2 linked regions of the Neurospora crassa OR74A genome follow. The protein of the gene in region 1 interacts with the protein of each later gene in a biochemical or structural test. Links are inferred from orthologs where the notes say so. Each region holds a gene or a part of one and is shown in the gene's direction. Other genes may lie near its edges.

The links.
Region 2: the proteins of NCU04090 (region 1) and NCU04388 form a complex in vitro, tested with the Saccharomyces cerevisiae proteins (2 studies listed by BioGRID). The link is inferred for Neurospora crassa OR74A from reciprocal best matches to the Saccharomyces cerevisiae genes NCR1 and NPC2.

The regions. Positions count from the first base shown.
Region 1 is NC_026506.1:2,707,320-2,723,468, reverse strand, and holds NCU04090 (niemann-Pick C1 protein), read left to right. Parts: upstream 1-6,369; 5' UTR 6,370-6,858; coding exon 6,859-7,128; intron 7,129-7,191; coding exon 7,192-10,761; 3' UTR 10,762-11,360; downstream 11,361-16,149. Other genes in the region: NCU04092 (N-acylethanolamine amidohydrolase), read right to left, coding at 245-1,976, 2,041-2,118, 2,200-2,267; NCU04091 (hypothetical protein), read left to right, coding at 4,251-4,355, 4,461-5,624; NCU04089 (pisatin demethylase), read left to right, coding at 14,147-14,452, 14,525-14,890, 14,956-15,819, 15,909-16,028. UniProt on the Saccharomyces cerevisiae protein: Involved in sphingolipid trafficking. May recycle sphingolipids between cellular membranous compartments.
Region 2 is NC_026504.1:3,520,487-3,535,746, forward strand, and holds NCU04388 (phosphatidylglycerol/phosphatidylinositol transfer protein), read left to right. Parts: upstream 1-12,775; 5' UTR 12,776-13,214; coding exon 13,215-13,417; intron 13,418-13,483; coding exon 13,484-13,700; intron 13,701-13,790; coding exon 13,791-13,904; 3' UTR 13,905-14,298; downstream 14,299-15,260. Other genes in the region: col-22 (fungal specific transcription factor, variant 2), read left to right, coding at 1-167, 254-281, 480-962, 1,020-2,549; SET-4, read right to left, coding at 5,560-8,406; vma-7 (vacuolar membrane ATPase 7), read right to left, coding at 14,336-14,476, 14,572-14,709, 14,776-14,811, 14,868-14,927.

The DNA.
Region 1 (16,149 bases):
GATTCATCCCAGCAATGGTACATGTGCCTTTGTCAACATGGGCGGCATGAATGAAACTGCACTGACCGATAATGAATGCAAGACGTCAACATCTTGCTTGTTTCGTTATGTAATGCCGCTATTGGTGAATGTATCTGATACTACACGACATTCCACAGTCTCTCTCTAACCCCCTAGCCAAACCCTGCTCTCCAAAACAGACATCACCCCAATATGAACCTCAACCCCCATCTCCTCCCTCTACCTACCCCCGCTGTGCAACCTCCTCCTTGGCCTTCTTCACCACATCCACCCAAATCGGCGGCCGTCTCCTCCTATCAGCACCCGCCTCCTCACACACGGCTCCAAACTGCAACAGCTGCTCCTCTGCGCACCACTCTCCCATAGCCATCAATCCTACGGGCACCTCCCCTCTCCCTTGCACGTCCATATCGTTCACCAACCCCGACTCTGGACTGACAAACCCAGCGGGCACGGAGATGCTGGGCAGTCCACAGAAATTTGCCAGCCAAACATACTCCATGCTCTGCAGCGTTCTATCCCCATCATTCACGCCCCACTTCAGCTCGCTCTTGCTCTTGATCGGCAAGCCCTCGCAGCTGGTTGTGGGGGTGACAATTAACATTCCCGGGTATTGCTGCCACAGCCAGGAGAGGTGCTGCATCAGCACGCGGCGCAGCTTCATGGCTAGCATGTAATCAGAGGCGGGCGTGACGGTCCCAAGGGCAATGAGGATGCGGTTGCCGTAGGTCAGGTTGCCGGTTTCCGGGAGGAGGGTGGCGGCGTCGGTGAGGACGGTGATGGCGTGCGCAATTTGGCCCTCGGGAAGGAAGGGAATGTCGATTTCCACGGCCGTGTAGCCGTGGTCGGAGCAGAGGCGCCGGATCATGGTGTTGCAGAGGGTTTGGATGGCGGGCGTGGCGCGAGCGAACCAGGCGGAGGGGATACCGAGGACTTTGGGGTGGTCACCACCATTGGGAGGGCCGGTCAAGCTGAGGCGCTTCAAAGGAGGGAAAGGAGAGGACGGGTGAGGCTTGCAGATTACTTGAAAGACGGTGGCGAGGGACTTGATGTCCGCGGCGATAGGTCCGAGACAGGCGCAGGTCAGGCAGTGGTTTTGGCCGGGCTTGAAAGAGAGACGGCCGTGGGTGGGCTTGATACCAAACACGCCGCAGAGACTGGAGGGGATGCGAATGCTGCCGCCGCCGTCGCTGCCAAGACCGATAGGGATGAGACCGGCACTGACGGCATAGCCGGTGCCAGAGGAGCTGCCGCCTGTATAGTAGTTGGGGTTGTGAGGGTTTCTGGGAGTACCGTGAACCGGGTTGTTGCCGGTGGTGTCGAGACCGAACTCGTGCATGGAGAGCTTGCCGAGGATGATGGCGCCGGATTCTTGCAGCTTGCGCACACACCAGGTCGTGATGGAATCTTCCTCGTGAATGGTTCCCGTGTAGATGTTTTTCGAGCCAAGGTTGGTTTCGTAGCCGTCAATGTCGTACTCGTCCTTGACACCAGTGGGAACACCATCCAAGGGACCAAGAGAGCGTCCTTCCTTGTACCGCTGCGTCGAGGCCGTTGCCGCAGCCAAAACTTTGTCAACCTTGCTGTCGAACCATGCTGAAGAGTACTCGGTAGGGTTCTCGACGTCGCGGCGGATCAGGGGCAGCAGAGCTTGGGCAACGTCTAAGGGTGTGAGTGCGCCTGAGAGGTAGAGTTTCCGATAGTCCTCCACTGAGTAATAATTTGCCTGGGGATATCTGTGGCGGAGGTCGTCTCGCTTGGCCGCCTCAGTTTCCGGGATTTCGTCATCCGCAAGGTCATCCTTAACTTCATCGGTAGTCTCAAAATCTGGAAAGGGTACGATCTGAGGCTCAAACCATGGCTCATAGTCCTCAATATAGGGGCGAATCTTGCGTAGGTCGCCGAAGCCGGCGTTGCGCCATATCATCTCCCTGATAAAGCGAACATATTCCAGACTGCATGATCGGTGTTAGCTCAGCATGTACATAGAGCGACTCTCTCTTGAAAGGAAGAACTCACATGAAGGCAGCGGCGCAAATGATCCAGCCGCGAATGGGCGGGTTGGACTTTCTCTCCACAACATATGGAACATCCGGACTGTGAATACCAGTCAGCACGCCTGTTCGGATTTTCAGCGACGATCATAGCGACGGCCGCAGTATTGAAAGCTGAGCTTACCCTCTCAAAGGGTCTGGGTAGTTCAACAGTCTTTTGGACTGTGACACCGAACCCGTTTTTTGTGACATGATGCAAGGACCATGTAATTGGTGAAAAGTTCAGGTCGATGAGTGCTTGACGCTGCAAGGCAAGGAAAACTGCAGCAGAGAATGATGCGTATGCACACAGAGATATGCTGGCTTCTTCACGTGCTGGCGTGAATGCGTGATCGGTTATGATGGGATAAGGCCCGTTCCGTGTCCGTTTCCCCAATTTACCAATTTCGGGCAACAAGAACTTGAGCCTTCTGTTTCCTGTCGTCGATGTATGGAAACGTTTGGGTAAGAGCGAGTGGATGTCTCTCCTGGATCTTTCGGTTCAGTTCAGTCTGATGCTGATAGCGAACGGCGTGGCGACTCGTTGTGACTGGTGACTGGCACCACAGGAGAAAGAACGAAGGACACGTAGGGTGTGGGTGAGTAAGGTTCAGCGACAAGTCAACTTGGTCAAGAGACACCGCGAGTCACGGTTGGTGTTTGAAAAGAGACAAAGCGCGACGGACGCTGTGAACTTGTGTGCGTGTGCGTGTGTGTGTATGCAATCTCGCCGGTAGCCTGATCTTTCACCGTCCCTGCATGTTTCATCCTGAGGCTTCTACGGCAGTCTGACATCTGTCATCCGCTGCCTTTTGATATCTAGCATCAGGCACTTCGAGGATCAATCCCCATGTTGACTCAGGCATATGACATGTCTAGGGTCTATCATTGGTGCGACCATCGCCATTCGCAATGCAAGCGCTGTTGCGATGGCGCCTTATGAAGATGGACGCTGTGGAATGACGACGACCGGAAGCGGTCAAAGTCCGATTGAATGGAAGCTAGTGGAGGTGTGCCCTTCCGCTCGGACTCTTCGTCGGCCTTTATGTTCCTGACTCTCGGGTCCCCGAGACGTCCGAACGACAGCCGTGGATCGTGTCATCCAAAGTTTATATGTAGTGTATGGTAGGTACCGGTATCTGTTGTTGCTGTTTTGCACTATCACTGACTGACATATGGCAGCTGAGTCGTGATGCATGCATTATTCAAAAGCGAGCCGACCCGCCCATCCACACGGCTTATTCCATTGCTTCGTGAAATGTCAAGCAGTTGAGGCTCATCTCGCTGTCAACGACACTGGAGAATTCGGACACTATTGTCCACTATTTGAGACTGATACACTAGAAGGGGCTACAGCATAGCCACCTTCAAGTTCTCGCTACAATGGCAGATCGGCCCATGGACATGGTTGGTCGGTCGATGGTTAGGCCACCAGCGTGCTTGAGGTGCCCAAGAAGATGAAGACCCCGTCGTCGTTGTAAACTGATGAGCCTGCTGTCAACGATGGGATGAACCATGACCCAGCGGATTTAAGAAATGACTGTGCTGCTTGATAGTACGTAAGTCTGCAAATGCTGATTCTCTCGTCTCAGGTCAGATAGCATGAATCGAATCCATGCTGGGGGATCAACCTAACTATTGTTGACGACGTCAGAACCCGCGATGGGCCCCTGTTCAGCTCTTCAGCATCACAACCTGGAGACGGAAAGCGGATGATGACCCCGCCGTAGTCATGCGGGGTCTCAAAGCTGTTAATGCAAGATAAAAAGTAAGCCTGCTCTTCCACTACTGGCTAACGCAATCGTAACTCGACCTGTGTACCCTGCACTCGCAGACTGAAAGGTTCCCCTGGCTACCTATCGGGGCCAGTTGCTTGGTGACACCCTGGCGACCCCCGCTCCCACCGATTCACAGGAAAGCGGCCCAGGGCGAAAGTCGGGAAAGCGCAAACAGAAAAGCAAACGCTACGAGGTTTCTTTGGCCAATTTTGACATTGGCTCATCCTCAGGTTGAATTTGGGCACCTCCAGTCAACACAATTCTCACCTCGACACTGGGCCTATCTTACATACGATGAACAGTGAATTCCAGCCGTCTCGTCTTTTTTATCCACCTCATGTTCATGCCATAGCGCGAAACCAGCGGTATTCGATCACGCACATCCTTTAAGCGACAACCATAGGCCTTTTCACCTGGGATGGGGGGAAGGAAAACGAAAAGCCATGTGAAGCCATCAGGCTCTCCCTCATATGAGGGAAAGGCTCGGTTGGAGTCTGTTGACTCCCTTCTAGAACAACTCTTTGTAGGTTCAAGCCGGATTGGAACGCACAGCACTTATTATATCAACATGCCCCAAAATCATTCTTGCAAATAATCAATTGTTTAACCGTGGATTATTCAACTGCAGGAAGAGTTTCGAGATCTGGATCAGTCACTCATTCTTGCTATTACCCTGGAGCGAAACATCCAAACGGACTATGACGACATCAAGGACATTCTCAACACACTGGCGCAGACTGCTTCGTGTGAGGCCTCGACGTCGTTTGACCCCTCCGGAATGGGCATTTCTGTCGAGGGGGCAAACGGTGATGAAGTCGATCACAGCATCATGTCCGAGTCTTTGGCTACGGAAAATGCCACAACGATATCCGACTCCATCTTCTCCTTCGAGTCCTCCTCGTCGTCCGAGGACCTCAGATTTTGCGACTCATCAGACCTGAACGAGCTGGATAAGGTCGAGCGACTTCGTCTGGTGTTTCCCAACTTCAAGGAGCACACCCTCAAGTTTGTGCTTAAACAAAGCGGAGGCGACCTGGACAGGGCCTTTGACGATCTTCTGACTCGGCAACACCTCCACGAAACGGGCCAGCTGCCCAAGGGACTGGATGGCTTCCACAAGCCACAGGGAAGCACCGCAACCCGCAGAGGCAAGAACAAGTCCAAGGACCAAAGCAGCAAAGGAAAGGCAAAACTGGCGCTGAACTACGCAGTGGTATTGCCAACAGTGGACAACGAGGAGTTGGAGGGGGCTAAGGGACCCATCCGACCCTCATCGTCAACACGGCGCGGTGGCATGGCAAGTTCACAGGTTGTCACCACCTTTGAAAGGGCGTCTACCCTTGTACCAAGCCCAGACAGTGAGTACGGAGTCTCCAACCTCTACGCGCAGGCTTCGGCTCTTGCTCGCAAGGGACCCTTGGGACGACAAGGCGCCATCGTTTACACGGAACGCGCCCGGGAAGAAGCCCGTGCCGCTGCCGAAAGGATATCGCTGGCATCCGAACAACTAGTCAACGAGAGAAGCACATACTGCAGTATCGATCTACACGGCGTCACCGTTCTTGACGGAGTCCGCATTGCCAAGGAGCGAGTCTGGCGGTGGTGGAACAGTCTGGGTGAGCACCGCAAGTCCAAGGCCAAGATGGAGGGATTCACGGTGGTTACGGGTGTCGGTCGTCATAGTTCGGGTGGCGTCTCGCGTCTTCGACAAGCTGTGGGACTTGCCTTGAAGAACGACGGTTGGAAGGTCGAGACGTTGACAGGCCAGTTTTACGTCACCGGGAGGGTCTGATTGGTTTTGCCATGGGGATGAAGAGAGAGGGGATTATTTGCATATGTTGTCGCTGGGCCATTTTGGGTCATATGCCTGTTTGCAAGATAGCAGTATTGAACAGTTCATGGGCGTGGTTTTTGGAACAGCTGAGCTGGAACGTGTATTGTTTTGGTTATTTACTGCTTTGGCATGTGGTTGTATTTTCGCTAGGATGTATTGATGATGATCAAGTAGAGTTGATATCGGATGTATGCTTTGAAGCACATATCAAGTTTTGAGTTGCTCTTGTCATACAAGTTTCTGTAGAGATAACCAACTAGCTAGTGTACATCGATAGCTTGTACGTCGTCGTTGGTGACGGTGGCCAAGGACAAGTCGGAAGACGGTTCGACAAGAACCCTTCATAGTAGTAAATACTTGACCGCCTGCCGTATCCAGCTGCTAGCCAGGTCTTGGCAGGGATTCACAGCTGTGGACTTGTCCCGCGTGATCGATTCTCAGGGACTTGAGGGACTGCGTGAGCGTCGTGGCCTGGGCTGGCGGCCCCTACCACTGCAGTCGTTAGGTACCTTCCTCGACGGAGTTCTCCTCCCACCTTTTGCCCCAGTCCGAAAACAGCCAATCAGACACGGCAGAGCGTCTTAGCTGCCTTCGGTTGATGACGCATGCATACACTTCAGCTAGCCAAACACGACCACAGCGCTGGCAGGCACCCATCAACTGAAGGGAAGCCCCAGGGCCAGATCGGGAGCTTCCAGGTCATCCGTTTCATGCCTGGGGCAGGGCAAGTGCCAGTTTCCATTTCCAGTTCCAGTTCAGTTTCGCATCTCCAACTCCCATTATCAATAATCGGAAAACAGACGGGAGGTTCTACCATCGGGCCATCATCGCCGTCTGGGATTCTGGTCCACTACACCTAATCCACTATCGCTGGACCCGACCCGATCACCTAGGTCCTCTCTCTATCCACCGAGACATCGACAGTCAACAACAAGTTGAAGTCGAACAACTCGAAGCCACCATCACAACGAAGTGACTCCGAGGACCTTACCATACCTCCATCGCTGATCTGACGACGACTATTGGTATCATACCATATGCAACCTGATACATAGGTCCTGCATCAATCTCCCGGGAAGAGCGTTGGCCGGACCAACATTGAGCGGGAACTCCCCATCGCATCCAAGCCGCCGAGCGGCACCGGCAACGTCAATAATAGCGACGACGTCCTGCCCTTGATAGATTCTCGACCATGATAAAGCTATCCACGTTTGTCGCGGCCAGCGGCGGGCTCCTACTATCAGGTCTGGGAAGTGTCACAGCCGAGATATATACGCCAAAGCACGAAGCTGGACGATGTGCTATCAGAGGCCACTGCGGATCCAAGGGTCTCTTTGGAAGCCAGTTGCCCTGTGTTGACAATGGCTTGGCCGAGGAACCCGACGACTATCTCCGTCAACAACTAGTTGATCTCTGTGGCCCAAAATGGAGTACAGGGCCGGTGTGCTGCCTGCCTGAACAGGTAATCCCTCTTTCGGCTCGTCGGGTTAACCAAGCAAGATGCTGATATTGACCCTTACTGCAGGTTGACTCGCTCAAGTCCTCTCTATCGACAGTGAACCAGATAATATCGTCTTGCCCGGCGTGCAAGGACAACTTCTTCAACATGTTTTGCACCTTTACATGTTCCCCCAACCAGTCGCTGTTCGTCAATGTCACCAAGACAATTGAAAAGAAGGGCAAGGAACTAGTGACCGAGCTGGACCAGTTGATTTCTGAAGAGTATGGAACCGGCTTCTACAACAGCTGCAAGGACGTCAAGTTCGGCCCTACAAACTCGAGGGCCATGGACTTGATAGGCGGAGGCGCCAAGAACTACACCCAATTGCTCAAGTTCCTTGGCCAGGAACGCTTCGGTGGCTCGCCTTTCCAGATCAACTTCCCTGTCGAATACGCTGAGCCCGACATGAAGCCGTTGCCCATGAAGCCCAAGAAATGCAACGACGAGGACCCCAACTTCCGTTGTGCCTGCGTCGACTGCCCCGAGATCTGCCCCACGCTCCCGGACGTCGAACAGGCTGGGTCATGCCATGTCGGCGCACTACCGTGCCTGTCATTTGCTTCCATCTTGACTTACAGCGTCATCTTGTTTATCTCCATTGCTGCCGTAGTTGGCCACGTTGCCTGGAAGAGACATGCTAAGCGCAGGAGTGAAAGACTCCGTCTTCTCACTGATGCTGCCCCGAGCGACGACGAGGATGAGGGAGACTTGACCCAGAACGTGGCCATGATTGACCGCCCCCAAAAGACATACATCATCAACACATGGTGTGATTCTGCTTTCAGCAAGTTGGGATATGTCGCGGCCACGTTCCCGGCCATTACCATTGTCACCAGCATTCTGATCGCTAGTATCCTCAGTCTTGGCTGGTTCCATTTTGAGCTTGAAAAGAACCCGGCCCGTTTGTGGGTGAGCCCAACTTCACCAGCGGCCGAGGAGAAAGCCTTCTTCGACTCCCATTTCGGCGCCTTCTACCGCGCTGAGAAGGTCTTCCTTGTGAACGACACCCAACCCTCCGGTCCTGGACCCGTCCTGAGCCGTGATACTCTTCTCTGGTGGATGGATGTCGAGAAGAGCGTTGCGGCGCTCAAGGGTTCCAATTATGGAAGCAGTTTCCAGGACCTGTGCCTCAAGCCCACTGGTGATGCTTGCGTTGTTCAGTCAGTTGCTGCTTACTTCCAAGACGATCCCGACTCTGTTGACCCAGAGACTTGGCAGAGCACGTTGCGGACTTGCGCCGCGTCCCCGGTGGAGTGTCGCCCTGCATATGGACAGCCTCTTGACCCTAGCATGATCCTTGGCGGATACCCAGAGGGCGGCAACGTTGCGGAAGCTTCAGCTATGACTGTTACCTGGGTGTTGATCAATCCTTCTGAAAACTCTCCCGAAGTTGACCGTGCGATGGACTGGGAAGTGGCACTCAAGAATCGACTGTTGGAAGTGCAAGATGAGGCCAAAGAGCGCGGTCTCCGCCTTTCCTTCTCTACCGAAATCAGTCTTGAGGAAGAACTCAACAAGTCCACCAACACCGATGCCAAGATCATTGTCATCAGCTACATCATCATGTTCTTGTATGCTTCGCTCGCTCTTGGTTCTACTACTCTGACCTTCAAGGACTTGATTCGCAACCCGGCTGTCTCGCTGGTTGAGTCCAAGTTCACACTCGGTATCGTGGGCATCGTCATTGTTCTCATGTCGATCACTGCCTCGATTGGTCTCTTCTCTTGGGCTGGCCTGCGGGCTACCTTGATCATTGTCGATGTGATTCCGTTCATCGTTCTCGCTGTTGGTGTGGACAACATCTTCCTGATTGTTCACGAGTTTGAGCGTGTGAATGTTAGCTACCCTGACGACATGGTTGAGGCACGGATTTCTAGGGCTTTAGGACGGATGGGCCCCTCGATCCTCTTCTCGGCCTTGACCGAGACGGCATCTTTTGCGCTCGGTGCCTTTGTCGGCATGCCGGCGGTGAGGAACTTCGCCATCTATGCGGCTGGAGCTGTCTTCATCAACGCCATTCTTCAAGTGACCATGTTTGTTTCCGTGCTGACGCTGAACCAGATCCGCGTTGAGGATTCTCGAGCGGACTGCTTCCCTTGCATCCAAATCAAATCTGCTAGAGTCCATCTCGCCAGCAACGGTGCAGGTCCGGCCCCGGTCTATCTTGAGGCTCCCGAGGAAAGTTATCTCCAACAGTTCATTCGCAAGGTTTACGCTCCTCGCCTGTTGGGCAAAAAGACCAAGGCTGTCATTGTCATGATCTTCTTGGGCGTGTTCGCGGCTGGTGTTGCTCTGATTCCCGAGGTCAAGCTGGGTCTGGACCAGCGCGTTGCCATTCCAGACGATTCGTACTTGATACCTTATTTCAACGATCTTTACGAGTACCTCAACACTGGTCCGCCGGTCTATTTTGTCACCAGGGAGTTTAACGCTACTGATCGGGCGCAACAGCAGAAAGTCTGTGCCCGCTATACCACTTGTGAGCAGATGTCGCTTTCGAACATCTTGGAACAGGAGAGGAAGCGGACTGAGGTCTCTTATATCTCGACGCCCACTGCCAGCTGGATTGATGACTTCTTCCAGTGGCTCAACCCCGAGAACGAGAGGTGCTGCATGGAGCGGCGGAGACCCTGCTTTGCGAACCGGACGCCGGCATGGAACATTACTCTTTCTGGCATGCCAGAAGGTGACGAGTTTGTCTACTACTTGAAGAAGTTCCTCAGTGCGCCAACAAATGAAGATTGTCCCTTGGGCGGACAGGCTTCGTATGGCTCTGCTGTTTTGGTTGACTCGGACAGGGACACCATTCCGGCCAGTCACTTCCGTACAAGCCACATCCCGCTCCGCAGCCAAGAGGACTTTATCGACGCTTACGCCGCTGCCCGCCGTATCGCCAATGAGATCAGCGCCGAAACAGGACTAGACGTCTTCCCCTACAGCGTCTTCTACGTCTTCTTCGATCAGTACGCCAGCATCGTCTCGCTCACCGGCGCCCTCCTTGGCTCCGCCATCGGCATCATCTTCATCGTCGCCTCCGTCCTGCTCGGCTCCCTGGTCACAGCAGCAGTAGTCAGCTTCACCGTCGTCATGGCCATCGTCGACATTATCGGCGCCATGGCCGTCATGGGCGTCTCCCTCAACGCCGTCTCGCTCGTCAACCTCATCATCTGTGTCGGTATTGCCGTCGAGTTCTGCGCCCACATTGCCCGTGCCTTCATGTTCCCGTCTCGCTCATGCATGGAGCGCGCCAAGAACCGCTTCCGTGGCCGCGACGCGCGCGCGTGGACTGCTCTCAGCAACGTCGGTGGCTCCGTCTTCTCGGGCATCACGGTCACCAAGCTGCTCGGTGTCTTTGTGCTCGGTTTTACCCGTAGCAAGATCTTTGAGATTTACTACTTCCGTATCTGGGTCGCTTTGGTCATTTTTGCCGCCACACACGCGTTGGTCTTCTTGCCTGTGGCGCTATCGCTGGTCGGAGGCGAGGGGTATGTTGATTCTGAGAGCGATGGAGGGTTGGAAGAGGATTTGGCGAGCCGACGGTATAGGGCTTTGGTGCCGGATGCTGATTCGGAATCGGAGGACGAGGGATTCTAGACTGGCCTTGCCAGAACTCCTAGGGGTGTTGTACGAGAGGGAATAGATGGGCCTGTCACCACGTCAAGAGATGCTTTGGGTAAGGGAACTGCTTCGAAGGGGCCTGCCCACGTTGAGCCCTTTTGGGGTAAGGATCATGACAGCTATTGCTCAAAGATGGGGTATTTGATATATCTGAAAGGAGATATGGTATGTGGCGTTTCAATGATGGAGATTGGAAGGTTGGATATTAATATGGAAGGTGTACTACTCAGGGAAGCAACAGCAGAGGACTTTGCGCGGTGTTATTGGTAGAATTGTTCCAGGCTTCTCTGGACTTGTTTGCAATTTCCCTTTCTTTTTTATGTCGTTATGCATTTGGGTATTCTCTCCTTCCTTTGCAAGGGAAGGGAGTCGTGAGAACGAGTTTATGATTTTGCATGACAAAGCATCCATCGGTTAGTACATGTAAGGTATTACGATTAAGTACAATATAGGAAGATAATGTACGCTGGATTGATGGGCAGGAAGTTTGCGTGTCTGTTTTTGTGGTTTATTCTGACGCGTATACAGTTGTTGTCATAAATAGATTACTTGATCGAGAATCTGTGTCGAACCCTTGTCTGTATGTTGAGCGATGGGGAGAGGGGAAGAATGTTCCATAGCACCCCATGGGGTTTATGAACATAATTCCTGGGATGCCCCAGTAACTGTGTGATAATCCAGCCAAAGCTAGATTCTGAATCATGGTTTCCATGCACCATAGTTGTTTCCGGATAATTCCAGTCCATGATCTTGCTTGAGAAGGGACTGTCCTCTAGATCTATTTCACAGTTTTGAATTGAATGGGAAGGGGGTCTCGAGTTAGTCGCTTATCAGTAAAGGCGCAGTAAGTGCGGGGATTGGACAGGATCTGATAGCGCAAGAACACACCTTGGCTACGTTCTGTTAACACCTTGGCCGAGCTTGCTCCAAAGTACTTGCTGTATCTACATATCCATGCGGGGAGGAGAACACGTTCTTCAGAGGATTATGCTTTTTCCTCCTGCTTAAAGCCTGGTCTACATTTACTTTTGCTTGTTCGAAGCAATCGTTTTCCACAATCACCATTGCCGAACGTCTATCATCCCAGCCAAGAATCGCTGTTTGCAGATCCGGAAACACAAAGGGTAGATTCACATCTGCCGAAAGGCCACCTGAGTCCTTCTGACAGGGGCCATCCACCAAGCTTCCTTTCGCCGCCTCCTCCTCCTCCTCAGCTGCAGCTTACAAGCGCACCAAGGGAAAGATAGCAGGCCACTTTGAGAGCATGGAGGCTGCTCGCAAGGCGCATGGAAACCCTTCCCGAATCCCGAGAACGTGGCGACAGGGTATCATTCATTGTTGTTTACGAGGGCGGATCGGAAGCGTCGTGAGTTGTAAGTTTGAGGTCCATTGTTTAGCCAAGTTGTTGGTGAAAAGTTACCTCAAGTTGGACCTTCTGAAACTCTCGTTGGATTTTCCTGATGGAAATTTCCCCCTTCAAGATACTGAGGGTGCCTTTGCTAATAGATTTATATAGTCAGGACTGGAATCTTCGTCGGCGTACAGAACAGACATCAATATGGAATGGTTGCTTCCCGATCAAACCCCACTGTCCCGATTTATACACTACACGGAACAGTTGCTGTTCCCGAGAGGCTACACTGAAAAGGCAAGTGTGTGGGACGTGGGAAGCAGATCATGAGGGACGTTCAGAATGGAGTCTGCCGAGCGCCCCGGGTTCACCGCCGCCAAGACGATCCCTTATTACCGGACTTTCAACACGACCAGTTGCCGTGTCTTTCCACAACTGCCTTTGGGCCACCGAAACCGCTTACGTCTTTGTACAGGACATATCCGGGAACACGGTGGTCGAAAGCATGCATCCGGCTCCCGTATCTTGATAGGACCTTGCCAACCTTCGCAAACTGTCGCAGTCAACGATTGGATATGACATCTGCCGATGGATATTGGCTCGCATGTGCCCCTCCCCCCTCCCTAGGCGTTGGCGTCACGCCCCCACTACCACCACCAACGGCAGTGATGTTTGGTCGCGCCTGTGGTGGTAGTGGTCACAACGTAGGTGTTTGCTCAGCTACCTCATGTCTATGCTTAGTCGGTGACTTCCAATTAAGGCTCCGGTTACGGCTTCCACTTACCACTTACACGTACATCACTGTGTTGCTTTCATCGCAGACTACCAGGCAAGCATCGCAGAGGTATATTTTACATCCACACGGCTTTACAGACGAGAGACACATTTCAAACTACTATTCAATTCCCGATATCCTTTGATCGTCCCGGTTGAGGAGGGTTGTAATCCGCCATTCACTTTATATGGCATACTGCATCTCTAAATGGAAGGTGATGGGCAACTTGGTTGGTACAGTACCTACACCTATTCCAAGCAATGAAAGAAGAAAGGTTGTATACATCCAGCAGCCCTGTGGCAACCTTTTCCATCGCATCTGTAGTCATAGGTGAGTACTTGGCTAATCACCCTCCACCAAGCCGGTTGACCAATACCGTGTAATTCAGGGGTGACTTGATACACCCTTGACTCCTACCTGGTTCTCTTGACCCTCTTCCTTGGAGAGATATATCGTATACACCGCAAAGAAAGTTGACACTTTTCAGATATCGAGACAACGAGTATCTTCTTTTGTCAAACCAGTCATTAACAGAAGTGTGAACCTAGTGGTTCGCCTCACAACAATTCATCTCCGTTTGCAAAGTTCAGTTGTTTGTTCGAGCTGATATCTGCCTATACTGTGCGTGGAATGGCTCGCTTGTTGGAGGGCGAGATATGTAGGATGTCCCTACACAACATGATGATGTAGGACCACCGGGCCGTCAGCCTCTAGGGGACTTCTCCGCCTTGCTTGTTGACATATCGAGTCTATCCCAGGATTGTCGGGCATCGGGAGATGCACGGGGGAAAACTGTCGGGGTAGGTTTGCATGGGTGGGAGATCAGCCTCGGACTCCTATGACGGCACCTCGGTACCTACCTACCTACCCCAGTTTGTCTTCTTCTGGGACGCGGAGATCCTCTTGTGTCTCTCAACCCATGTCTTGTGTTATAAGAGCCGCTTACATATGCCCTCCATATGGGTTTCTTGGTCGAGCAGCAGTCACATATAAGCTCATTCGACACGGCTTTTCTTGTTGCTTTGTTTATTATCTGTTTATTCCACTCAATTCTAGCAATCTTCTTTTGGTTTTCTTCATCCTCCACCTCCCGAATATTAGGTTTCAACAACCATAACACAATCAGACCACGCTACACTTGGTCATAGAGAAACAAAGATACAAGCTCGAAGCCTCAGGGCACCGCTACATACGCCTTCCTCTTCTCGTCACAATAGTTATCCGTCCGAGTCAAGATGATTACAGATTTGATAATAAAAGTGCTGGCACAGCACTGGCCAGCAATACTTTGCTTGGTCCTTGTGGGATGGCTGGTCAGGAACCGATATCACAATGGTCTGAACAAATATCCAGGCCCGTTCCTGGCGTCGTTGACGGACTGGTGGAGGTTCATCGATGTGTATAAGCGGAGACCAGAAGTTACACACATTGCGCTTCACAAGAAACATGGCCCTATCGTACGCCTTGGACCCAACACCTTGTCCTTTTCGGATCCAGAGGCGATCAAGACGATATACGGTCTTAACAAGGGGTTTGTCAAGGTGAGATTTGATCCATGAAACGGCCTCAACCCAAAAGGGGATATGGAATGTTCACTGACTCTCAACAAACAGTCCGACTTTTACGTTGTCCAACAATCCACTGTCAAAGGCCACAACCTCCCCTCCCTCTTCAGCACAACCGACAATGAATTCCACATGCAATTCCGACGCTGCGTCAACTCTGCCTTTGCCATGTCAGCCCTCGTCCAGTATGAGCCGTTTGTCGATAACACCACCAAGCTCTTCCTGGAGCAGACCGAGAAGCTGTACGTCGAAGGAGGGGAAAAGGCGTGCGACTTTACCCGCTGGTTGCAGTTCTATGCGTTCGACGTCATTGGTGAGATAACATACAGCAAGAGACACGGGTTCATCGAGCACAACAAGGATATCGATGGGATTGTTTCGTATCTGACCAAGCTATTCAACTACGTTGCTCCCGTACGTCTTTCAACCAACCTCCTCCTCTTTCTTTCCTGCCAAGTTAACCTAACTCCGTGAACTAGATCGGTCAAATCCCCCTCCTCGACCGGCTCTTCCTTAAAAACCCTCTCTACCTCAAACTCTCCCAATGGGGCCTCATCGACGGCACCATGCCCGTCGCCGCCTTTGCGCGCGCCCGCATGGCCGAGCGTCTTCCCGAACTGCAAACCGAAAAGACAGCCATCTTGCCCACCTCGGAGAAACAAGCCCAGCTAAAGATCCAAACCCCCGACCTCCTCTCCAAGTTCCTCGCCGCCCGCTCCGCCCGCCCCAACTTCATGACCGACACCCTCGTGCAGACCATGGCCGTCTCCATGGCCTTTGCCGGCTCCGAGACCACCGCCATTTCGCTCTCGGCCGTGTTCTACTATCTGCTCCGCACCCCGCGCGCGCTGGCCCGTTTGCGGGAGGAGATTGACGAAGCGGCGCGCCAGGGCAAGTTTAGCGATTACGAGACGGGCCTGGTTACGTGGGCGGAAGCTCAGACACTGCCGTACCTGGATGCGTGTGTGAAGGAAGCGTTCAGATTGCATCCTGCGCCGGGGTTGCCGATGGAACGGGTGGTTCCCCCCCAGGGGATGGAGATTGTGCCGGGGCAGTTTGTCAAGGGGGGCACGATTGTCGGGGTTAGTGCGTGGGTTTTGCATCGGGATGAGAGCATCTTTGGAGAAAGGGTGGAGGAGTTTAGGCCCGAGAGGTGGTTTGTGGATGAGACGGTAGCGAAAGAGGATATGGAGGGGAAGAAGAGAGAAGAAGAGGAGAAGAGGATCAAGACGATGAATGGGCATATGCTGCAGTTTGGGATGGGGAGCAGGACGTGCATTGGCAAGAACATTAGTTTGTTGGAGATTTATAAGTTGGTGCCTACTTTGTTGAGGAGGTTTGAGGTGAGTTTGCCCCCTTCTCTTTTTTTTCCTCCCTTTCTTAGCTATTGGATTTGGAGAGAAACGATTGACTGACAGATGGCGTACTACAGATCGAATTCGATGATCCGAGCAGGGAGTGGGAGATTGTGAATGCTTGGTTTGTCAAGCAAAATAACTTTATCACCAGGTTCAAGGTGAGGGATATCGTGATGCCCGAGAACAAGGAATAGTAGGTTGGGGTTTTGGGTATGGGGGAGGTGTTTGGCGTCATGATTGGTTTACTGTTTGTTATTGGAGCAAGTTCGATGGGAGAGGTGTGAACTGAATGGACGTTCTGTTGAACGCTTACCT
Region 2 (15,260 bases), on another chromosome or scaffold:
TCCCTCCTTTCGCAGCATGGCGTCAACTTTGAGCCCATTGCCCACGACCTCAAAATATCGGAATGCGTCGACGATGTTGCCGACCTGGAGCAGGACCTTAGCGGGCTCAAGACATCCCCTTCGAGTGCCGCAGATCATGTCTCGCCTGGCGATCAGGGATATGATAAGTCAGTCCTTCCCATGTAATCCTTCACTGATGAACCCCCCCCCCCCCCCCCACACCACGCTAACTTCGTGCCCTTGCTTCACTCAGGCAAAAGTGGTTCCCATATAACAAGGAGGTAAGCGTGATCGAACCCCCTATCCATCCAATGCTCGTCGTCACCATTCCATATTCCGGGTTTGTTCAGTATTGGACTTGCGTGCTTCGGCTGGCCCATATACCTTCTTTGGCATTCTTTAAAGACTCTACAGTCAATCCAATGGCCATGACCAGGTCTCTGTGCAAAATGTTGACCCAAGAACAAAAAAAACCGTAGTTCCGAGCCATGGACGAGGAGCTTGCAGATTCCTCCGATGAGGATTGTGAGGGGCCAACACTCCATCATGCATACGACACGATGTTCGATAACAACGATGGCTTCCCTTTCGTCGTCGGCGGATCTCCTACCAGCGTGACCAATTCGCACCCGTCCTCGTTTCAGATATTCCAGCTATGGCAGACCTACATCACAAATGTTAACCCACTCTTAAAACTCAGCCACACTTCCTCTCTGCAGAAGCAAATCATAAGTGCTGGCGCAAAACCGGCAAATATCCCCAAGCCTTTGGAGGTTCTCATGTTCGCCATCTACTTCTCTGCTGTTACATCGATGACTGCTGAAGAAGTTCAGACCGAATTTGGAGAAGACAGGACTATACTGTTGGCGAAATACCATGGCGCAACACAGCAGGCTCTGGTCAATGCTGGCTTTATGAGATCAAACGAGATCATGACCTTGCAAGCTTTCCTGTTGTATCTGGTAAGTTGTTGCCCAACTACGTTACAGAACGTTATCAGCTGACACCATCTATCCTAGCTCTGTGTCCGCCAATATGTTGACCCACGCTCGATGTTTTGCTTGATGGGTATTGCCGTCAGAATTGCGACCCGGATGGGCATTCACAAGGATGGACAACAGTTTCGGTTACCTCCGTTTGAGGTGGAGCAACGAAGACGTCTATGGTGGCAGATTGTTATTTTGGACAAGCGAATAGCAGAGATCACTGGTTCGGCCATTACCGCGTTATCGAGCTGCGGCGGTGATTGCAGATTCCCCCTAAATATCAACGACTCGGATCTCAACCTCCACGGAAAGGACTTCCCGACTCAATACCCCGGCCCGACCGAAATGCTATTCACCCTCACCCGGATTGAGTTAACGGTTGCCGCGGAGCCTAATGGACTTCGTGCTGTCGTGACTACACCTGGAGGGACTCGCGTCACGCAGCCGCGAGTACATTTCAGCCCATCTCCGGCGTCACCAGATGTTGTTACCCACGTTGCAAACACCAATTTGCCGCGCGATTTGGAAAGTTTTTGCACGTATATGGAGAATGCTTACCTCAAGTATTGCGACCCCAAGGTACCTCTGCACTTCTTCACCCTGTTGGTGACAAGGCAAGCGCTCGGCAAACTCCGAGTTATTGACTTTCTCTGTCGCGAAGCCACCCAGGGTGTCATGGACCACAATGAACGAGACGCACTTTTTGAGCAGGCCATGCTGATGGTTGAATATGACAACATGTTGCAGGGCAATGAGGCTTTGAAAGGATTTAAGTGGTACACTATGCTCAACTTTCCGTTGCCGGCCTACATTTTCCTTGTACAGGATCTGAGAACGCGCACGACTGGTGCGCCCTGCGAGCGTGCCTGGACTCTTATGATCGAGAACTTGGAACGCCGTGGCTTGACATCTAATTTGCGTACACCGATGCATATCGCTCTCGGCGGCTTCTTTGTTAAGGCCTGGGATGCCCACGAGGCGGCGCAGAACCAACTTGGACGTCATTTACAGACGCCGAAAATAGTGACTCTGATGCGCAATACGGCAGCCAAGTTCAAACGACCAAACAGTCCTCCGCAAGTTGGTAGTGGTCCAGTCGGCGGTGTTGGTGGCAGCATGTCCATGTCATCGGATCCACGACAGTCCGTGGCCAACTCGGCTACGCCGCCAGGAATGATGCCCACGGCATCCATGCCTCCTGCTATGGCGGGCATGGCAGGCCCTCATGGGCTTCCTGGCGTCGGCATGCAGGCGGGAATGTACACGACACCCAAACCGATGCAGCAAACGCCACAGACTGATACGTCACCGCAAATGGGTTCAGCTAGCATGATGATGAACGAGTCGATGATGTTCGGATCGCCCAACGGAGGCTTCGATACTGGCATGGGCCAGATGTTTGGGGCTGGAGCGCCAGCGCCACCGTCAGCAGGCTCAATGGATCTCGACATTTCGCAGATGGATTGGAATTATCTGGTGCAATTAAGCTCTTTCGGAGGGTTCAATCCGAATTACTCGGCGCAGATGCAATACCCTCATCAACCGGGTCCGGGGAATCAGTAAGGGAGGCTAGGAGATAGGCGACGTGAAATGTTGTGTTTAGAACAGTGATACCCCCGATAAACCCCCCGAATACGTTTGGTCGAATGTGTTGGTGTGTTGATGTTTGTTGGGTGGCTTGTTAAGTGTGGTTAACTGAGTGAGAATCTCCTCTCAAGGATTAGAAGTACGAGGTAACGAAAGCTAAGTATAGGGGTATTTGTCCGATTATATCATGAAGCTTGAGGTACATTGTGGTTATGAGGTCAATCGGAGCATACAAAAGGAGGAATTGAGGGACAACAACTATGGACCGGTGGAGGAACATTCTGAGTGATATATAACAACAGCTTACGAGTCTGGAACTGTATGTATGTCTAAGGTGATAAGACACTGCGTCCTGTGTGTATGAGCTGTTTGCTCTACGTGGGGTAGTGTGCTTTGTGCAAGCGGAAGTTAGTTTAGTAAGTACCTGCGTGTGCATCTGTATCTAGCAAGCTAGAAAGAAAAGGCTTGGAACCTCCGTTGGTATGGTTGCATAGTCCGCATGTTTTTTGTTTTTGGGTCTGGTCATTTATTGGTAGTGCAGGTTTGTTTGAGTGTTGTCAGTAGGTCGTTTGGACGTATGTACCGAAAGCGCTCTTCGGTGGTATCATTTTCGAATTCTCATTGGCACACATTTAGGACGATCCAGTTTTCTTGTCTTTACTGAACATGATTATATATTCGAAATTATCTGGATGATGATAGACTCCATTTCCTTCTTCCCGAATAAGTTCTTTTTGTGCTGCCAAGACTCATTTGCCGTTCTTTTTTACAAGGTTATTACCATACATCAAGTCCGACTATGGTTGGAGCGGTTGAGGACTTATTTCACTTGTCCCTCAATCTCACTAGGAAGGAGACGGGAATGGAACCCGAAACCCTCGAAGAATCAATTCTCGATTTTGAGCTCACGATGGTTCATATCTCTGATTACTTCAGGATTAAGGACCAGAAATAGAATAGCAGCAAGCACTCCTGAGTCTTTCGAACATTGTATTTACACATCCATCTATACACCCATTCATTCTCTTTTGGTCCATGTACGTCCGTACCTAAACCTGATATCTCCGCTTGGTGACTGAGTAAAATGGCCATAAAAAAAAAACAGAAAAGAGGTAATGCCTGAAAAACCTGGATATCAGACAGGACGCTAGCAGTTCTGTAACGCCCAAGTCCGAGCCTCTGTGCCTTAAGACGCAAAGAGGGGGGAGGGAAGGGGGGGGGGGGGGGAAGGAAGTATCGTGCATCATTAAAAGGTTTTCACTAAATGAGCGGACATATTCAAATGTAAAGAAGCATGTTGCTTCTTTTTCCTGCTTTCTGTCGGGCGCTCGAAGAGGGATAAGCCTTTTTTTTTTTTTTTTTTTTTTTTTTTTTTTTTCTTTTTTTTTCTTCTTCTCTTCTTTTTCTCTTTTAGCTGAACTTCAGCAAGTAAATACGGCGTCATATCTACCCACATACATTCGGGTGCCGAGTGTAGAGTCGGACATACCAGTACAATATATATACCCACGGGTTAGCTAGCCCCTCTTCAAGCCACCGAGAAATAACAAAGAAAACTCCTCCAGACTCCCCGCTATGTTAGCAGAAAAAAAAAGGAGAAAAAAAAAAGGGGTGTGATTGACGCACTACACTATAGTATCATGGTATGTTGTGCCTGTGCCCCGAGGCATATAGAAGACCACATACGTACACATCCTGAGCATCTTTAGTCTTGAGACTGGAACCGGCAAAGTGTGTGTTATCAATCTTACTTGGTATCCGAGATTTGGTCCGGCATAATACGAATACTGAATTTGTAAGTTATATAGTAGACACTTTGTATTTTTTTTTTTGTATACACGTGGGATTCACGGTAGGAATTGTGAAGCTACATGAATAACTATGTATGTATTTTAGGCGAGTAAAACGTAACAGCTAGCAACAACATTTCATCGAGCAAACAGGATATTTATACATGTACTGCTGGGTGGCTGGCTGGCTGGCTTGTGGTGTATATATAGGTGGCTCGGGGATACCGTGACTGAATGTCATGTACAGAAAGTTCGTAGTATTCCTTTCCCCAGCCCTCTTGACTAAATGGCAACAGAGCAGAAGATATTTCGAGGACAAAATGACTAGTTTTCTCCATGCCAACAAAGGAGGATCAAGACACATGCCTGAGGTTCTGACCAACGAAATCAAGAAAATACAGCAAATGTATCGTAAACTACTTGAAACATTTCAAAGATTCAATGAGTGCCTCAACTGCCTTGGCAAAGCGTTATCACTATTGCTTGAGTAGCGTAGTAGCGTAGATAGAAAAAAAAGCCGTGATCCATCCATCCATCCGTCCATCCATCCATTGGTCATCATAAAAAGAAGTGAGAGATTGAAAGAGAGGACAAGAAGATAAAAAAGTAAGAACGAAGTTCAAGATTGGGCAAGGGAAAAAGGGGTTGAGACATGTCCTTTGACATACCCATCCAATGACTTTGACCAAGAAATCCAGTGATGTGATGGTGTTGTGCTTTTCCCATTTTGATCATTTCATCTTTCTCTTCCTGTCTTTCCTCGCAAGCATAACAGACAAAATAAATAACCCCCTCCGAAAACCAGGCAGCCATCCCATATCATGGAAGACCAACCACTGTGAACCCAACCCAACCCGGTTTCACAAAAACTCCCGACCAGTACGGGGCTCCAAGGCTTGATATGAAGCCGTCCCACAAAACTCAGTTTCCCGGACCAGGAAAGAAATATCCCAAACGCCACGTTAATTATATCACCAGCCGCCAAACCCATTTTGTGAAAAAAACGTAAAAGTACCATAAAACTTTATATCGCAATCGGCCCGGACCTAACAGCGACCTGGCTGCTTCGCTCGAATGTCGGGGTTCTATGACTCAGGTCTCAAGAGTGACACCGAGTAAGAAGCCGCTAACAGAAATACTTGAGAACATCCTCCACCATTAATCCATACACGGGAAGACCTTAGTCTATATACTTGTTACACAGAGCTGCTTGCAGTTGTCAAGGCCAAAGCGGCTGTGGTCGAGCCAGTCGTATCAGTCACCTTTTCCGTGGTTGGGGAGCCAGAAGCAGCTCCACCATTGTCGTCACTGGTGGTCAACTTTGGCTCGTCCAAAGCAGCATTGGGCTTCAGAGAGGGCACACTAACCGATGGGCGAGCTGCCGCAGCTTTGTTCATCCTGCTTTTGGTGTAATCACTCAAGCTCAACTTTTTCTTTATTGGGCTTGGGTTTGCAGTCAGACCATTGATAGACGACGGCCCCAGGGGACTTGGCAGACCAGTAACGGAAAATGATGACTGAGCCGCCGAAGTCCCTGCAGGTAAAGAAGTGGTAGAGGTCAAGGCCAAAGAGGTTGAACTTGGAAAGGGCGGAACAGGTGGCATGGGAACCCTCAGATCCAAGACTTTGCTCTTTGGCGCAGTAACGACAGAAGTACTTTGGGCAGCCTTCAGATGACTCGCTGATACGGTGGGCGCGTCGGGCATCTCGACATCACTTGTGGTGACCTTGCTTGGTGCACTGGGTTTCAAAGTTGTATCCTGAACCGAACCAGCAACTGAAACCACAGCCTTGTTGTCTTTTGGACTATCCACATCCATTGGGACAGTAGCAACCGCCTGATTGAGCAGTCGTTGCTTGCCCTGCTGCTCTTTCAGCCAGCGATGATGCTGCATGATGCGCATCGTCACCGAAACCAACCTCCTTTTCGGTCGTGCCGGCGAGGGTGCAGGGTTGGCCTCGGTGTCGGGGTTCGTTTGAGTACCAGCATCGGCATACTTGGGGCGAGACGGCAAACGGACTGGCTGCGCAGGAACAGGATGGGAAACGACGGCAACAGATCCTTTCCTCGAACTGGTTTTCTTCGATTTGGTGACCCGACCAGATTTCGCACTTGCTGCTGGTGATGTTGCTTTGCTGGTGATTGCTGTTTCACCATTGGCAAAGTGGCAGTGGCGTTCGTCGGGTCCATTCGTCGCATTTGTCGTCTGGGTTGTAGCGCTGCTCTTGCTACCTTTCTTGGAGGTAGTAGCTGCATCAGAGCCGCGTGCTTTCCGCTTCTTGGTAGGTTGTTGCTGTAACTCGATCCGGCGGAAGGTCTCTTCGATCATGGAGACTTTCCGCTTGTCCCGATCGGTCGGCTCTGTCAATATCCCAAGAGTGTCGAATGATCCCTGGCGGGCCGTGGGGGTGAGGTCTCGGCTTGGAGGCTTGCTCCGTGCTGAGCCAGACACTGATCGGCGATCATTCTCGGGAGCATCCTCAAGGTGGCCTTCACTAGCTGCTCGACTGTCCGTTGCTGGCCCTGTGCCGATGGTGGACGAACTTTGTGTTTTGCTTTTTCGCTTCTTGGTCTTGGGTGGGTTTGCTGGCGCCTGTGATTTGCCCAAATGATTCCGATGGAAGCGGGCAAATGCACATTCTGATCCAAGGTTGCACGCACAGCCTCCATATTCGGAAAGGATGTTGTGCAGCCAGCTCGTAAGTGCCTGATATTCCCCATCGTCAACAGAAGACTCGGCGTGGGCTGAAGTGTCTTCGTCACTGAGCCCCAGAACCCGGAGCATCCGTGACTTATTCTCATTGGGGAATCGGAAGTCCCAGGGCAGTGTGATTTCTTCCCTAGCTGCGACCTGCCTGTCGGTTACAAGCCAAAAGTGAAGCTCATAGCCGTCTGAAAGATATGTTTCGAGCATGGCATTAGGCTTGCAGCTTCGTCGGATATAGCGAGCCTGGGATCCTTCTTTCCTGGTGTCGATATAAATGGGAAGCATGGGGTGGAAGAAGACATAAGGAAGCGGGGACGTCAGCTCTTGCCACCGGCTATCGGGATCTGCGCAATAACTGCTCTGAATCCCGATCTGCCCATTCAGTTCCACAAGAGGGACGTTATGAGCAATAGCCGATGGCGCTTTGAGGCACTTCCAAGACGCGACGGTGCCTTGACCGAGTGTCTTCCGGGAAAGTTCAATATCCACTGGCCTTTTTAGCTGATCAATATTTGGGGGTAGAGGCTGAAAAATGTCAGCGTAGGCCCAGCCCGTCTCTTTCTGGAGTTTGTTGTGGTCTCGTAGCCAAGCCGAGATGGCGTTTGACACCTGGAGGCTAGCAAAACTGTTGGTATGCACAATCTCAACACCTCGGTCACTGGAGCCGGATAGCAACGCAGGGGCATAGGTATGTATCTCAAAGTCGGCAGGCAGGTCAGGTGGCGTCGCCGCAGGACTAGGAGGATGAGCATGGTTGGACTTGGTGCTGCCGAATTGTGGACTGCGTTTCGCAGCCTGTGAGCTAACCGAATGACTAGATTTGTGCGAGCTTTTCGATTTCTTTGTTGGAGGATGGCTGTCCTGGATGCTGGCTTGCTTTTCGGCTTTCGAGTGCTGACCAGTCAATGGCAGGTCGCTCGGTTTCGGCTTCTTCTTGTGGCTCTTTGAGATAGGACGCTTGCTCTTCTTGTCTGCCATTCCTTCAGTGACACCCGTTGTAAGCTTGCGCCTCTGGTTTTCTTTGGCTCGTTCCCGATCCAAGGGCCTTGGCTGGCACTCAACACAGAAGTGTGCAAAGTCTGGATCGCGGAGAGCATCCTCAGAGTTGTTGGGGTAGTAGCATTCGATGTGCTGCCACGTATCGCATAGCTCGCAGTAGATCGTGTTTCCGTCATCGTCGGGGTATTTGCAGATACACCTAATGGTGTACGGCTCTTCCTCAACATTCTCCTGCGCTCGTATACCATCTTGGACAGGAACGGCAGCAGAGACGGAGAATGAAGTCCGACTAGGAGGCGCGATTGGCGTCAGCAGTGACGGCAGCTTGTCGGTCATAATCTATGGAAAGACCTCGGGACGGCGGTTTCGGTAGGATATCGGGAGGGTGTTGTTGACTGGTTATCTTTCTAGGTCGAAGGGCATGCTGGCGCGCTGTCCAACGCAATTGATTCTGACCAGAGAGACGAGCACAACTTGACGAAAAAGCCGGGGCTTTCATCCGTTGGGAGACAGCCTTGGATTATATTGCCCGTTTGTCGTATGGACTAGCCAGGGTTACAAGTCGGCAGCGGAACGCTCGGTCGGGCGGAAGAACACGTCGGAACTGATGATGAAGGTCGAATTCGAGAATTTGAGGAGAGAGCCCAGGCGGCGTCAATCACTGTCGAGGCCTAGATTGAAAGACCAAGTCTCCAGAAAAGGAATAAGCCGGGCGTCAGGTCGAGGTCGCTCTCGGGATCTGGATCGTGTTCTTCTGCGCAGGAGGAGTGGCGAGCGTCAAGCCCAAAAGCGAGGAGAAACGCAGTGGTGAATGACGACGACGACGAGATGGATTTGTCGAGAAGGGAACAGATTGCGCCGCGAGGAACGAAACGAACTGAAGAAAGGTAAAGTCGGCCGGGGCAGAGTCGTATGTGCGCGAAAATGGAAAGTCGGTTCGGACTTGGTCAAGACTGTTGTGAAAGATGAATAGGTAGGCAGGTGTCGGAAACGAAGGGGGGGCAAGAGATCCAAGAAAGAGACCAGAGAATTCAAGTGGAAGGGGACGGGAGGAATGGGAAATCGAGTGCAAAGTGGAAGTGCGAGGGAGAGAGGGGGGCCCACTCGCACTCTGGGAACTCTGCCCTCTGCCCTCTCAAGTCCTGCCTGCACTCTCACTCAGGTCTGACTCTGGCTGGACTGGCGCTGGCGTGCTGGTTGCAATCGCTCTGTCCACTGCCGTGCCCGCGCGGGCGGCCCTCTCTGGGGCCCCTCGCTCTGGCAGTGTCTGGCTTTGGGGGCAGGTCATCTCAGAAAGGAAGAAGACGGGAAGGAAGGCGGGCGGGCTGCACTCGCAGTCTCGCCTGTCGCAGTCGGTCGCAGCACTGCAGCTGAGGTGCTTCAAGTTCTCTGGTTGCGCACCTTTCGTTTTGGTGGCAGTGGAAATGGGAATGGGAATTGCCCGGGACGGCGACCGGGACCGGGGGAACTCACCACTGACCTCAGCCACTGCCAATGCGTGGCCCTCTCACGCTCTCTCTTGTGCAAAGGGCAGAGGCGGGCAGTACCTAGGTCGGGCAAGAGTACCTAACCACGGGCACCCCCCCAGGACGGGCAAGACTGGAGGGACGCTGCAGTGCTCAGCAGGAGCACGGGCCAATCAGACGAAACAGCCCTCGGCAGCCGTGGAAATCTCCGTGGCACAGGCCTTCCCCCAAATCGGAACCTGTCCAGTTCTTGGGTTGTCCTTGGGCCTTGTTAGGTTGTGTGCAGTGAGCGTCCTCGGTGCGGGCGACATAAAAGCTGCAAGTGGACTGTGGACGTGCTGCCGGCGGTCTTGTTTCCTTGGATTCCTGGTTCTGCTCTCCAGCTTGTGTTTCGCTCAGCTGTTTCGCACGTCTGCTGCGTGTCTTTTTCGCCCTACGGTACCCGGCGGGTCTTGGGAAATTGTTAGCGCAACCACTTTCTACTCTGCCCGATGTGTTTCTAGACTGCCTTGGTAGCTCGCAGCAGCCACTGTGGGCGGGGGCCATCAACCAAGGAAGCAGCTGTTTTGTAGGCGACGCTTGGCTGTTTTGTCGGATCGAAAAAAAAAAAAAAAAAAGGTCCCCACGGCATCAGCCGCCATATGATATCAACGAAGAAAAAGAACGCAACCGAAGAGTCCGGCCCGAGCCACTAAGCTCACGGCAGCGGAGAAGAGTAGGAAATGGAAATGGTAAGAAACGTCAGTACTGTGACTGATATGCGACATGGTATGAAGTAAAAGCATGCAGCTTTGAAATGTTTGCATGCCGAAATGTCGATCGAGCAGCCAGCCAGTGTGGAGGGGTCTTTAGAGGGACAAGGAGGAGGGGGCCTGAAAGGAAACCACGAAGGGAAGGGACTGAGAGCGAACTGGAAAGAGGCCAGGGCGGGGTGCGTGCGACTGTGCAAGGTGAGGGTTCCATCAACGAAAAGGCGCGCCGCGAGGGCCGAAGGCAGAACGGACTTGTACGGCGGTTCATTAAGGCCATGTGCGCAATGGCCACCTATCGTGGATTATGGAGGCCTACCCGTGGAGATGGGGTATCCAGACGTGATGCAGCACCTCGGAGCGTGGACAACTCTAGGAGCCGCGTCGCGGAAGTCAATCTACCGTGGTGGTAGTAGGTGGTTAGGAGGTCAGGTACCTGGGCTCACTGGATGATAACCACAGCGGGCAGCAGAAACGGGGTTGTGTTCCGGAAACGGGAAAAGCCCACGGCTATATTGACAGCAGCGACAATGACAAGAAGGCGGGTTTGGATGTCAGTACTCTCTCTATAGTGTACATGCCTTGCATGGTATCTCGGGTCGAATATCGTGTTATATTTTGCATTCTTGATGCCGGTGACAATCCGTTCAAGCGCGACGGATGCGTCTCAACATGAGGACGATGCCTTTTGGAATGTCTGCTTCTTGGAAAGATTGCGTTCAAAGCCCCAGGACTTTGAACTCCTGTTTTTAGGGGCGTGCATCTGCGCCTCAGTTATTGTTCGGCCTAGGACGAAGATGAGTGGTGAGCGTCGGAGATTCGAGATGGGTGTCATCCAACCGCAACCACCGTCCAACAAACAGCCAATGTCACAGCGATTGAACCCAAGACGATGTCGATAAGCACTGCCTTTGAATCCCGTCCTCTTCAATGTCCACGATTGATAAGCTATGCCCTTTACCATGGCGCTTTGTGTGTCGTTCGACGATCCGTCTTCTGCTGGAAACCAGCTCCGATCTACACTACCTACGCGCGCCCATGCTCAACCTCGGACAAGGTCACTTCGGTCGCACTGTTGAGTGTTGGGAAACGGCTGGTTGGCTGGCTGGTGAGCGTCGATTTGAGCGAATCATCGAAGCCGTGAGCAGTGTTGACACTAGTGCTTATTCGTACAAAGTGGGTTTCGAGCGTGACAAAGGTGTGGCTGCAATGCTTCGGCGTTGCTGCAGTTGCTACTCGCTCCAATCAATGTTGTCATGTCTTTCTCATCACGTTGGACGGTGGGACCCTTCAACCAGGCGCAGCCATTCACATGAAACTATGCAATCTGCTCCTTTTTATTTCCCTTTCTCCATTTAATACGCCCGTCCGTCACGACTCACTTGCTTGCCCTTTGGGCTTTACTTCCTCTTTTCTTTTCTCTTCTGTCTTACACCTCCTGTGTGAAAAGGCACATCTGGCTTTGATTGCTGTCCAACAACTTGTTTGACATATCGCATAATTACCTCGTCCAACAACCCCGAAACCGATCAAGACGACTGCAAGCCGCCGAACGACTGAGCGAAACTCGTCGTCCCGATCATTCCCGTTTCAGTGATACGCCCGGAAACACATATCAATAATCCCTGACCCAGCCTGAATCAGTGCGTCTGACATCTGCCCGAGGCCAGAGAGATACGCTGCCTATCTGCTTTCCAGTTTGCGCGACAACATGGCCGCTGCTCCAAGACTCCAACCATTGTTGTAAACTGTATCTCTTGGGCGACATGAACTTCTTCCACAAAGGCGCATCAATGATGGCAGCTTCGGCAGGACTATCGCAGCAAAACGGCCCCCATAGCCGAAGTTGTCACGCAGGGACAACCAAACTTCCCAACGCTCCCGCAACTTAGTCTAGGAAACCCATGTTTGAGTTCCAAGCACCACGTATGCGATTTCGGACAGTCCGTCGGTTTGTTCTCTGATCTCGATGTTTGGTAAAAACGCCATGTTCGAAATGGCACAATTGACGACCAGGGTTCCGAGTATAAGCGACCCCTAAACTGAAGGGTTTCAAAAAGCACGCCCATATGCCATGCCGCGAAGGCAGAAAGGATGTAATTCAATTAAAAAAATGCAGCGTTATGTGTCGTTCAGTGCGCTGAGTGTAGTATACGTAACCTGAGAATGGGCAACCGATATGACATTTCGTCACTCCCTACCCCAGCGATGAAAGTCGAAAGATCCTTCGACAGCAGCTGGGAACCAAGAACTCGATGCTTCAGGAAACGGCGCCGCCGCAGTAGCTCAATAGTCGTGATTGGTCCAGCTCACATATAAGTGGATCCGCTCCGACTCACATGATAAGACTAGGTAAACAAGACAAAAGAAAGTTGGGGAAATGGCTGCAGGCTGGGGCAAATCGAACCCGCCATTCGCCGTCATGCCCCAATGACGTCTCTCGCTTGTTCCGTTGTGAGAGAGGCCTGCGCAGAGTGCCAAAGCGGGAGTGTTTGCGTGTGTTTATCGACTGGGCCAACCAGTGACCTGGCTCCTGTGGAGGTCCATCTCTACTGATGCAGGTTGGTTGCGTAGCCAGGATCAACCTCACCCAGCCAGTCACGCCAGCCCATTATCTCGCTCGCCATCAGTTGACTGCCTCCGCTTCCAGTTGCTGTGGCTTGTTTCGTTCCTGGTATCAGAGGTATCATTTGGAGTCTCCATCTACGACGACATCCATCTTTGTAAACAACTGCCATTCCGATTTGACTCGTGAGATCCCTGTGGCCGACATCCCGCAACTCAACACAACGAACTGTCGGTAACTGTCTCGGCGGTGGACAGCGTTTATATTCCCCGCTTTCTCAACCACATCCCATCCTCTCCAGGGTCTCCATAACACATCTCGGCACCGAACACCGACCGTGACAAATCGCTACCATCACTCACCATGAGGCTTTCCGCAGCTGTCATCGCTCTCCTTTCCACGAGCGCCGCCGCTTTTAGCGTTTATCGCGAAAACAGCGTCTCTGCCAACGATGAACTCGATGTTCCCGGAAAGTCGCCCTTGAGGTTTTGTGACGCTGCGGCCGATCGCAAAGATGACATTGTTACCATCGAGGAGGTCATATTGACACCAAACCCTCCTGAGGCGTATGTCACATGTCTCTTATCTTACCATGTTCAGAAACAGAAAGCTAATGGGTTTGTCACATACAGCGGTCAGACCCTGACAATCGAGGCGTCTGGTATCGTCAAGGAGGCCATCGAGGAAGGGGCATACGTCAACTTGCAAGTCAAGTATGGCTACATCCGCCTGATCAACACCTCTGCCGACCTGTGCAAGGAGATGAAGAACGTGGAGCTCGAATGCCCCATCAAGAAGGGCAGACTCTCGATTACCAAGAACGTTGAGCTGCCCAAGGAGATCCCACCTGTACGTTCTTTATTGCCCAATTTCCCCCTCTCTCAATACTGCTGTCGTTGATGGGAATATTCGCTGACATGGACGGTTTGATGGTTACAGGGCAAGTACACTGTTGAGGCCGATGTCTACAACAGCGACGATAAGCACATCACCTGCTTGACCGCCACCGTCTTCTTTGGTCGCAAGACTCTTGGCTTCCTTGACGATCTCTGATCTGGGTGAAGAGCGAGCGGATTTGACGATTAACAACGGATATGGCATGTTTAATCTAGACCTTGGATGAATACTGCGCATGATGGATTAATGAACTCATTCTTGGCACCGAATCGGATGATGGCACTTGCACGGCAACAGCATTTGTATGGGTTTTGCTTTGGTAGTACTGGAGTTTTTCGCGTTTAGTAGTTGGTTTTTGAGACTGTTTCTGCCTTTAAGCATGCTTAGGCGTGAACATATCTGAGGAAACATTCCCGTCGTTCTGCTTCTTTATAGGTATTCTGAGTTCCCCGCATTGCGCGCCGCCGCTGTGATGTCGTGGGCACATTGATTCCGCTATGCCCCCATGAACCTGACTGCTTCCATTCCTTCCATCGTGGCGTATCATTCCCCGTTTGTTATGTCCATGCTAAACTGGCCAAACACGTTTATTCACCAAACAGACGACGGACTCTGCGGAGAACACTGTCCTTCTCAGGGTCGTAAGGGTGGTCTTTGCTCGGGATCTCGAGAACGGTAGGGAAGGCCGCGGTATGAGTGTCGACTCGGTGTCGTATCCTATCAGCGATCTGTGTCTTCCACGTCAGTTGCCCATTTTATCCAGAATTGTCAATAAGAAATATCTCCCCACAAGCCCCCCCTTTGAACCAAGACCCGCACTTACATGTTGGTTAATCAAAACAATGCCAATGTCCTTCCTCTCGGTTGTGAAGCGGTCAAAGGCCGCCTCGATAGCAGCGTTATCCGTCTTGTTGTCCACCACAAGAAAGTTCTTTTGCGAATCTGGGGGAGCCGTAACGTGCTACGATTCGAGTGCGTATTAGAACTCCGCTACCGCATATCATCCGAGGACCATACGGGAACCTACGCCAATGCCTGCAAGGAGGAGTCCCGTGACGGAGTCCTAGATAATTGTTAGCTCCTTGACAGATGTAGACCTAGTTGCAAAATCACACTCACCTCGTCTCCAATTACAGCCAGGAACTGACGGTCCCTAGCGTCTGCTTGGGAAGTTGCCATGATAGGCTGGGTCAGGTATCGGTCGGGGAACGAGGGCTATGCAACGATAGAAACTTGAGTGACTGGCAATAACTTGAGTAAATCTTCTGAAATGTGTGTTTGTATTAGCGTCGGTAGGGAATGTCGAAGCCTGCCGGCGGTTGCGGTTGTGGTCGTATCGATTGATGTCGACGTCGGCTGTCGTCGTCCATCCAGGTACTCCAGGATGACGGGACGGACTGGAGCTCTGACCAACCTAGCCGCACCCGCTGGATCCAACTGGGCTCCACTCGCGGTCAACAGCCCGCGCTAAACCCACTCGACCCCTCTTTTCAGCAATGCCAGGTTCTAAAA